Coturnix japonica: one gene and its partner. The protein of the gene in region 1 purifies or fractionates together with the protein of each later gene. This does not show direct contact. Links are inferred from orthologs where the notes say so. Each region holds a gene or a part of one and is shown on either strand. Other genes may lie near its edges.

Region 1 (5,210 bases):
GTAATGTTTTTATACTTGGACTTTTCAGGCAGGATTTAGTCATTTGTGGACACTAAGGCTTGGCGGGATTCACTGCCTCCACTCACCTACTGCAGTGAGCAGCTGTTTGTGATGGCAGAGCCCTGGAGATGGAAGAAGAGAGACTGCTTGTGATTTATTCCAGGTGAACCCTGATTTAATCCAGGAGCATCCAGCTGACGAGGAAGGAGTCACATCCAGCATGCAGCCAGGCACAGACTCACACAACACAGCTTCACAACAACAAATCCAGCGGGGACTTTTATCCCAATCTACCTAATGGCTAAAAAATTAGTTATAGGCAGAAAAGCCAAACCCACTTTGAGCGCACGCTTGCTTTAAGGAGGCAGAACAACTGAGACCTGGTCTGTCATACTAGAAAAGCAGGTTCCAGCACAGCTCTGTAAGGGCTGTACAAACCCTGTTTGCTTTGCTTCGTGCCATGAGCCCCAGCCATCAATGCCCATCTCTGGGAGGCCCAAGGAATCATTGACACTACAGAAGCCCATGGCCCTGAACACACACTGCTGGGGCTCCAAGCAAAGCTCTGTGCAACCTACAGTCTTCCAGTGGAGAGTCAGTGTGCTAACAAGCCTTTGTGCACTTGTGCCCTGATTGCAATTCCTTAATTCTTCCTGCCACGTCGACAGCAAGGTTTACCACTGCTGCCACAAAGCAGAGGGCAGTTCATGTTCCCAGCATTGCAGTGAGGAAACGTTTTGTCCCATTGCACAGCAAAACCTTGCAGCATCTGCAGGGAGCCTGCAGGCACTACAGCATGTGTTCAGTGAAGATTTGCTCAGAGGAGTTTGCATTATGTGGTCACATATCTGAGCCTGTTGGTTCATCCTACCCGCTCCTCAACAGCTCCGGTGCTGTAAGCAAGGCCCTGTGTGACAGTTAAGGCAGAGAAGAAAGTGAGCTGAGCCTAATCTGGGCTGCCAGAAGAGAGAGACAGCAGGAGGAGGGGAAGGGGAACGGGCATCATCCCCTCCATCTCAGCAAAACACCAACTCCACTGTAAATCCCCACCTTAGAACCAGAGCAAAACTTCTGAGGCACGAGCCTAGGGCTTATCTGCTGCTCCCTCCCTACTCCCACATTTCTGTTATCAAACCAACGCCACTTATCTTACAAATCCTGCCTCTTAAACCAGCAAAGCCACGTCGGTTCCTGCAGTGCTGAGGCTTGGCTGTGCTCCTCAGCTTCAGCACAGAGCCCCAGAAACACCAGCAGTCCCCATGGCACCTTGTGTCTGTTCAACTGCATCCATATGTGGGTCCCACCATCGTGCTCGGCAGCCACTGACCCCCTTCCCCACAGGTTAAATCACTTCAAGCATCCTACAGGCTGAATTTATTTAGGAGCCCATAACAAAAGTTTGAAGGAAAGGGAGTTAGTCCGGAGCTGTGCTTCATAACCAAGCGTGGGATAAAGCTCAAAGGAACATAGCAGAATTCACCATGTCAAAGCTCAGCAGCACAAACCCATTAAGCACTGACCACTGGAGGAGAAGTGCCTCAATGAGGAGCCTCTGTGCCCTGCAGGCTCCTGCAGCAGTCACACAGCTGTCCCGGCTTTGAGACAGATAAGGCTCAAATGATTCATTCACTCTAAACCTTTATTTGTTCTTGCTTACCCAGAAAGAGCCAGCAGCTGCTAATGCTAAACTGGGACAGCTCCCAAGCTCAGACAAAGGCCTGCAAAAACAGGTTTAAGGAGGAACTGATTGTTCAAAAAAAGCAATCCTAGAAGAGGGAGTTAGAAAGAAGGAGTGCAGCGCTGTGCAGGAGGAAGAGGAAGCCAGAAAGCACCTAAAAATACATCTTAAAAGAAGCAACCAAGCACAGGACAAGGGCCTCGCCTGCACGTGACCATCACCCACAGCACAGGCAGGATGTGAGCTTGGTACACAACACTCACTCCCCAGCAACCCTGCATAGAGTGCTTAGCAAAAGTCACAGCCACCATCTTCTGCCCCAGGAAAGCTCAGTTCTGCCATGCCACAAACGTTCTGGGTGTGGAATGCTGGCCCATTTGTGCTCTGATCACTCTATGCAATGTGCCAGATCCACCCCAGTTGGGAACCCATCAAAACCCAGCAGAGATGGCATCGAGCAGCTTCAACAAGTTGAAGGAATTTAAAGGAAGTCTGGAAAGCAAGATCAATCCCGAGATGCGCTCTAAAGAAACAGATAAGCCCTGCTAAAGGACTAACACAGGGTCGGTCCTTTGGGCTACGTACCCATCTGGGTAACACCTTCAGATGTGATCAGTTTCCTGTGAAACAGCTAGAAATGGCAAAGCAGGAGAGCTGAGTCTCTCCTCCTCCTGCTGCTACGGCTGGGGCTGCCACTGCCTGCTCCTCTCTTGCAACTGCAAGGCTGCAGAAAGCTCTGATGGGCTGAGAATGGAGCACGGGTAAGCAAATCAGCAAAGAACTTGACCTGCTCCTGCATGGACCCAGTGGGGTCAGAGCTTCAGCTCTGCTCCATGCAGGCAACACTCAGTGTGATGAGAAGGATGCTCCCAAATACCTTCAGCCAACCCACCCCAGTCAGGAGTCAACACTGTTCAAGGAAGGAAAACCCCCCCAAGGGATATGAGAGGCACTTACAGGACGGGCTGAACATCACCAGAGCCGCAGACAGAGTCAGAGCTGTGCCCTGAGGCTGAGAACATCCAGCTAGTTCCGCTCCTGGGAAGCCACCGCTCCGCATCCCACATTCACTTCTGCTTCACTCCTGCTGTGCACGTATCTGGTCATCGGGGCAGCACCGAGACGCAGTAAGATAAGCCTGCTTGAAGATGGGCCAGATGCAAAAGGGCACTTAATGAACTCTCGTGCACTGAGTCATCCCGTCTGCAGAGCCGTCTGCCTCCTCCGGAGCACACACCAACGTCGGCAACTCTTATTTCATGCTCACGTAGGTGTGGAACCCTTTGAGCACATCAAGCTGAGGCTGCTGCTGGGTAGGGCTGTGCCCGAGCCGTCCCTTCAAAGCTGCCATGAAACGCAAACAAAACTTCTGCATGGCACAAGTTTTGCTATTCTTTACCCTTCGGTCCTTGAACTCATGACTACTGAGTAAGGCGGCTTGCTCAGCTAACCAGCAGGCTAAGAATAGAGACCTTGAAGTGAAACCTACAGGGATTGGCAGCTATTTTGAGAGCTCTCAGCCGGCGGGGCGGCGTGACATAAGAGGATATAAAGAGGAAACTGCACGACAACTCTCACCTCACCAAGAAAGATTTGGTTAAGTGAAGGTAGAGCCTCCATGAGCGCTTTTGAGGCAAAATAAACACAGAGATGAGCCCCCGAGGCCACCTCTACATCAACGTGGGATCCCAAACCAGGCCTGGCAGCTCCGTGATGCACCCCCAGGAGCAGCTCAGCCCCTTCTCTGTGCTTCCAAACCCCCTGCAGAGCCTCACAGCTCTCCAGCAAAGCACACGCATAAGAAGGGAGGGCTGCAATCGTGCCCGGTCACCAGATGTGTTTTGAGAAAGATCTGGTCTCAGTTAGCAGCCAGCATTAAGATTAATGTAAGGAAATTTAAATGGCAATACTCGGAGCGTATTTGATTTCAAGCCTTAGATACTTGGAAAACAAACATACAAGCTATGGGTTCTGGAAATCAAGGCTGCCACCTGAAACCAGTCCCTGCAGCAAGCTCCCAGCACATCCACCTCTCGGCACATGCAAAGCAGAGGTTCCGAGCATCAGAACATGCTGAGAATGGTGGTTTTCTCCTGGTTTTTTGGACAGGATGAAGCTGCAAGCAGGGACTCCCAACTGACCAGCTTCAACTTCTATAAAGACATCCACTAAAACCTGCACGGGGCACTGGGAGAACAGCACACCTCCAGCAGCTGCTTCTTACCCTCCTCCTGCCTTACCACCAGCCTCTCTGCAGCGGATCTTCTCACCCTGTAGCCACCAGCAGATAATACTGGAAAGTTTGGGGCCTCTTAAGTGTTGCTTAAGGCAGCTAGAGCTGGAAAATAGCAACGCAGGAAAGAGGAGACTCTTCTCAGTAGTCGTACCCCCGGGCTATGCACAGAAACATCCTCTGAAGCCTCAGCGCATCAAACTGCCAGCGAACCTGCAGGATTTACATAAGCCTTGAAGTTTTGGATAAGAATCGAGGAAGAAATTCAGGAGGCAATCCTGCATCGAGCTCTTTGGGAAATGACGTTCTCCACATTTTCTGTGCCGCCCAAGGCTTCGCTCTTACGCAACAGCAGCTTTTGAAAAGGCAGCATCAGCATCAACACAGCCTTCTCCCCCCATTGCGTAAGAGATTCCCCTTCCGTGAAGGCTTGGTTTTGAGGCATTACTTTTGGATAGCGACCAGGAAGGCTTTTTTGATCCTAAGTGATCCAGTAAATGCACTGAGCACCTGGGAGAGCCATCAGCAAGCAGTGCCACAAGCTGACAGCCCGAGCTGTGCACCACCCAGCCATACACCCCACTCCCAGGTTGGCACCAGAGGATGCTCCAGGCTAAAGCACTTCTCCACCATGATCACAGTCCCTCTTGGAGGCCAGTCCAAGGTCCTCGCTGCTCTCAGCCCTGTCCCAGCTCCCACACCTCCCTCCCCTTGTACCCTATATTGAGCACCCATAGTCCCAGCCCAGCACACACTGTCGTGCAGATTGCAGGGAGAGCATAACCACTTTGCTTCATGCTGGTGGGAGCACCGAAGCATGCTGTGCAGCCCTGGGAAGAGCTAACCCTCCCTCTGCTGTGTGCTGATGTAAATAGTCCATGGGATGGAGCTTGTGGTTGTGATAAGGTGCAAGAAGCCAGGTAGCCACTGGAAAGATGCATTGAGCACAGCACCATCCACTGCATGTAGCTTTGAGCATGGTGGACTGAAATTCAAAGAGCAGGGAGGGCAAGCAGGTATGTGTGATGGATGTGTTAATGCATCCAAGTGTCACACAGAGCTGCTGCCCCACTCCAGCCCATCCTTGGGACCAGGAGCACCATTGCTCCTAAACATCCTCCCATATTACCCAACAGGGACCACAGTGACAGGGACATACGTACTGACTGCCACCTCAAACCTTGCAGGCAGGTTCCTGTACATCACCACCTCCAGCCCTGCTCTGCCCAGGGCTGATGTGCTTCAGTACAGATCCTTCCTCCAAGGTGAGCCTAGAAAACTTCCAAAGTCAGCCCAGCA
Region 2 (4,479 bases), on another chromosome or scaffold:
TTGAAACTCGCGCTCCCAGAGCTGCACCCTTCGCTGTGGCTGAGAGCCAGGGCCAGAAGTGCTGAGCTTTCTCCAGCGCCGGCACATCCACACCTCCATGGGGATGTCCTCACCTCGGTGGGATGCTGTCACCTCCCCTGTGACAGCTCCGTGTCAGTGCTGGAGGGGAAGAGCTGAAACATCCCCCTGTCTGCACGGAGCCCCAGTAATGGGGTTTGGGACACTGTGGGTTGCGTGGTTTGGGTGGGGACACCATGGGGATGGAGATATCATGGAGGTGGGGACATCAAGATGGGGATGGGGACATTGTAGGGATGGGGACATCATAGGGATGGGAAGACCATAAGGGTGGAAACATAATGAGGATAGGGACACTATGAGGATGGGGACACTATGGAATGGGGACACCATGGGGATGGAAACCCTACGGGGATGGAAATACTATGGGGGTGGGGACACCATAGGAACATCTTGGGGATGAGGACAGTACAAGAATGGGAAAACCAAAGGGATGGAGACACCATGGGAATGGGGACATACAATTGCAGGGCTGGAGACCTGGGACATACTCTCCCTATGGAAAACCCACCTAGAAAGCCCATTCTGAGACCCGTCCCTGAGGTCTGGGGCTGGCTGAGTACCCCCACACCCCATGGCGGGGCTGGGAGGGGCTGCAGGCAGCCAGACCTGCACTTTGGAGGCCCCGAGTGCTCCCCAGCATGGCGTGGCACGCAATGGGACCGGCTGTGGGAGCTGCAGGAGCTGCCTGGGCTTGTGCACGACAGGAGAGATGAGGCGACCACAGAGGCAGACGTGCACGAGATGGTTTATTGGAGCCACACAGAGGCTTCGGCAATTCGCAATCCTCCATCCGGGTGGGGGGCACATCAACCCCCCCCCTCCCCTTTCTCCCCATCCCGTCCCATCACCTCCTCCCATTGCCCCCAAGGGACCAGCGGCACGGCTCTAGCCCCCCAAGACAGAGGGCTAGGGCCCCCCCTAAGCTACGCTGGGGTATCCCCCAAACAAAGTGTTAAAGGGGTGAGGGGAGCATGACAAGAACATGGGGGGGGGGAGAAGGAAAGGGGAGGCCCTGCCAAAGGGCAAACATATGGACCCCACTCCCAGAACTGGAGGGGGGGTAAGGGTGGGGGGGCGAAATACCTTCCCCACTCCTTAAAAAAGGAACAAAACAAAAGGAAAAGACACCGAAGGGCTTCGGGAAGGGGAAGGGGAAAGGGGGGGGAGTCTGGGAGGGAGGGGAGGAGGAAGGAGGTGGGGGATGGACCCCAGCTGCATTGGGGGCCGTTCAGTTCTTGGGCTCTTCGCCAGCCTCGCCGCCGTCTTCACCCGCGCACTCGGCTGTCCATAGCGTCAGGTTGTCCCTGAGCAGCTGCATGATGAGGGTGCTGTCCTTGTAGGAGTCTTCGCTGAGCGTGTGCAGGTCCCCCATGGCCTCGTCGAAGGTGGTCTTGGCCAGCGAGATGGCCTGCTCGGGGGCGTTGGCGATCTCGTAGTGGAAGACGGAGAAGTTGAGGGCCAGCCCCAGGCGGATGGGGTTCGTGGGCTGCATCTCCTTTTTGCTGATGTCCATGGCCTCTTGGTACGCCTTCTGGGCGCTGTCGATCGTCTCCTTGCGGTCGTTGCCGGAGGCCACCTCAGCCAGGTATCGGTAATAGTCTCCCTTCATCTTCAGGTAGAACACTTTGCTCTCTGCATCTCCGGCCTTCTTGATGAGGTGCTTCTCCAGCAAGCCCAGCACCACGTTGCAGACGCCCTTCAGCTCCTCTTCCACCTTCTCCCTGTATTCATTCACCAGCTGCGCTTTGTCGTCTCCCTCCTCGGTTTTGTGCTCGATGCTGGAGATGACCCTCCACGCCGAGCGCTGGCAGCCCACCACGTTCTTATAGGCGACGGAGAGGAGGTTGCGCTCCTCGTTGGACAGCTCGTCTCCATGCTCCACCACCGCCTTCATGAAGTCCGCCATGTCCTCATAGCGCTCAGCCTGCTCGGCCAGCTTGGCTTTCTGCACTTGGTGGTTTCTTGCCATGGCTGAGGGCGGATGAGGAGCAGGATGAGACGAGGAGTGGGGCCGGGAGCCGTCGGAGCCTCTGCTGAGCTTCACCGCCCCGATTCGCTTTTGGCTGAGCGTCGGAGCCCCGAGCAAGAGCAGGAGGAGCCAACGAGGCTGAAGGAGCGGCCTCCTCCTCCTCTGCTTCCTCCCCGCAGAGCCCGCCCTTAAAAAGCAAATTGCCGTGAGTCATCATGCCCCGAGGCACAGGGTGATGGGGAAGGGGTGAGCGGGTGGCACCCACCCTGCCCTGGATCAGGTGGGTGCCGGGAGGGAGAGGATGTGTTCAGGGAGTTCATGGTGAGCCCCCCCTGTGTCAATGGGATGTCCCACTGGATCAATGGAGAAGTCTGGATCAATGGGACATCCTATGTCAGTGGGAGACTCTGAAACAATGGAGGAGGGAAGATCAACTGGGGACCCCGGATCAATGGGAAACCCCAAATGAATGGGAGACCTAGAATCAGTGGGGACTCCAGATCAGTGGGGGAGCCTGAACCAGTGGGAGAGCCTGGATCAATGGGATACCCAGACCCACGGGAGACCTGGAATCAGTGGGATCCCGAAATCAATGGGAAACCCCAAATACTTGGAAGACTTGGGATCAGTCAATGGGATCCCCAGATCAATGGGGGACCCTGAGTTAATGGGGGAAACCGGATCAATGGGGGACCCCAAATAAATGGGAGACCAGGAATCAATGGAGATCCCAGATCAATGGGGGACCATGGACCAATGGGGGAACCCTTCCCCATCTGCCAGGAGTGCTCAGAACAGGGAGCAGTGGGGTCGTCACATTGGGGTGAAGCAGGAAAGCGGCAGCACCCAGTGCCCCCATCCCAACCACCCTTAGAGAAACAGCACGGGGAATAAACCTGGCTGTAAAAATGGTCTCCTCCCCAAAAATCCCATCGCTGTCATTTTTATATGATGATTAACTTGTCGGTGATTGCAAGGGCTTGAAGGGCTGGTATTTATTCCCACTGGTGGGGAAATCGAGGCAGGAGGAGCAGCACGTTACCCCAGCACTGCTGCAGGGATCAGGGCCAGGATTGGGATTGGGGCATTCCCAACTCCTCCACCCTGCCTGCTCAGGGGGAATTGCCCTGGCACTTGCAAGTACTCAACCCCAACCCCCCCATTGAACCATCATTGGACATCCCCAAACCCAAGGCAGCTCCACACCCACAAACCCCACTGGATCCCCATTAAGGCTTCTCCACCACCCATCCCCATGTCCCCCACCCTCTCCGCTCATCCCACCGGGGCTCTTTTCTCTCCCTTTACGCTGTACTGGAAGAATTGGGATTATTATTCCTTCTTTTTTGTCAGTCTCATTTTGATTCGAGTTCTGCCCAGCAGCGCTGGCGGCCCCGATTAGGATCTGAGCTCGGCGTTGCGCTGCAGTTTCGCTCTCAGCCTGTTCCCACACGCCGGCACAGGGCAGGGTGCGGCGGGCAGCACGTGGGGATGGAGCCAAGGGCTTCACCAGCGCTGTGCCAGCACCCTCAGCCCCATCCCTGACATCCTCTCCCCATTGGGGTTGCTCAGGGCTGGCAGCTCTTGGTCCCAAGCTTATGCGGTCCCAGTCCCCATCCAGCCACATGGTGGGGGCTGTTGAGTTTGGGGCTCAAAGTGGACCCCCCGTGAGCACTGCTCGACCTCATGGATGCACAGGGGCTGTGGTTTTGAACAGAATGCACTTCTGCCCCCTACCCCATAGGAGAGACCACAAATGGGGCTGTGTATGGGGGCAGGTCCCCCCCAGGGCACAGCATGGAGCTCGTGGGTTTGGGTGCTGCCAGAAGCACCGAGCTGCTGCCAAATGTTGGTGGCAAAGAGCTGAGCAGGAGCTGCAGAAATATTCTGCTCTACTGGTTTTGGTGTGAGTTAAGGGGGGGTGAAGGAAGAGCCCCAGCTCTGTGCCCTGCTGGGGAGGGGTCAATGGCCACCCACCACCCTCAGAGCACCCATGAACTCACACAGCTGCAGTGAGGGATGTGGGATGGAGCCCAGCACCACACGGACAGACAGGAAATGGGAAAATCTTTATTTTGTTACAAAAGTAAAAGGCAGAATCCTACCAGGCTCAAAGCCCTTTGCACAGGGGGAAGGGGCCCATCCCCTCCATCAGAGCCCCATAGCGATGGACCGGGGGGTGGGAAGCTCATGGGGAGGGTGAGCGTTGACCGTGCACCATCCTATGGGGTCGAGTGGGATGCAGTGGGCAACACGCTGCTGGCTTAATCCCAAACCCCCCCAGGTAGGGCTGGATGCTGGGAGCCCTGGCTCAGTACGTGGCTCTTCCCCATGGTGGGGGGGAGGAAGGAGGAACGCAGTATTGCACTCGGGAGGGAAGCTGTATGGCTTTTTGGCCCCTGCTGTGGGTGGGGGGCTCAGAAAGGCTT

Evidence for each region. Proteins that work in one complex are often made in the same cells at the same time.
Region 2: the proteins of HDAC7 (region 1) and SFN purify together in Homo sapiens (affinity purification with mass spectrometry; 3 studies listed by BioGRID and IntAct, with this or other methods). This does not show direct contact. The link is inferred for Coturnix japonica from reciprocal best matches to the Homo sapiens genes HDAC7 and SFN.

What each region holds. Positions count from the first base shown.
Region 1 is NC_029544.1:425,269-430,478, reverse strand, and holds the start of HDAC7 (histone deacetylase 7), read right to left. Parts: upstream 3,371-5,210; 5' UTR 2,739-3,370; coding exon 2,636-2,738; intron 1-2,635. UniProt on the Homo sapiens protein: Responsible for the deacetylation of lysine residues on the N-terminal part of the core histones (H2A, H2B, H3 and H4).
Region 2 is NC_029538.1:1,604,326-1,608,804, reverse strand, and holds SFN (14-3-3 protein sigma), read right to left. Parts: upstream 2,204-4,479; 5' UTR 2,051-2,203; coding exon 1,310-2,050; 3' UTR 811-1,309; downstream 1-810. UniProt on the Homo sapiens protein: Adapter protein implicated in the regulation of a large spectrum of both general and specialized signaling pathways. Binds to a large number of partners, usually by recognition of a phosphoserine or phosphothreonine motif.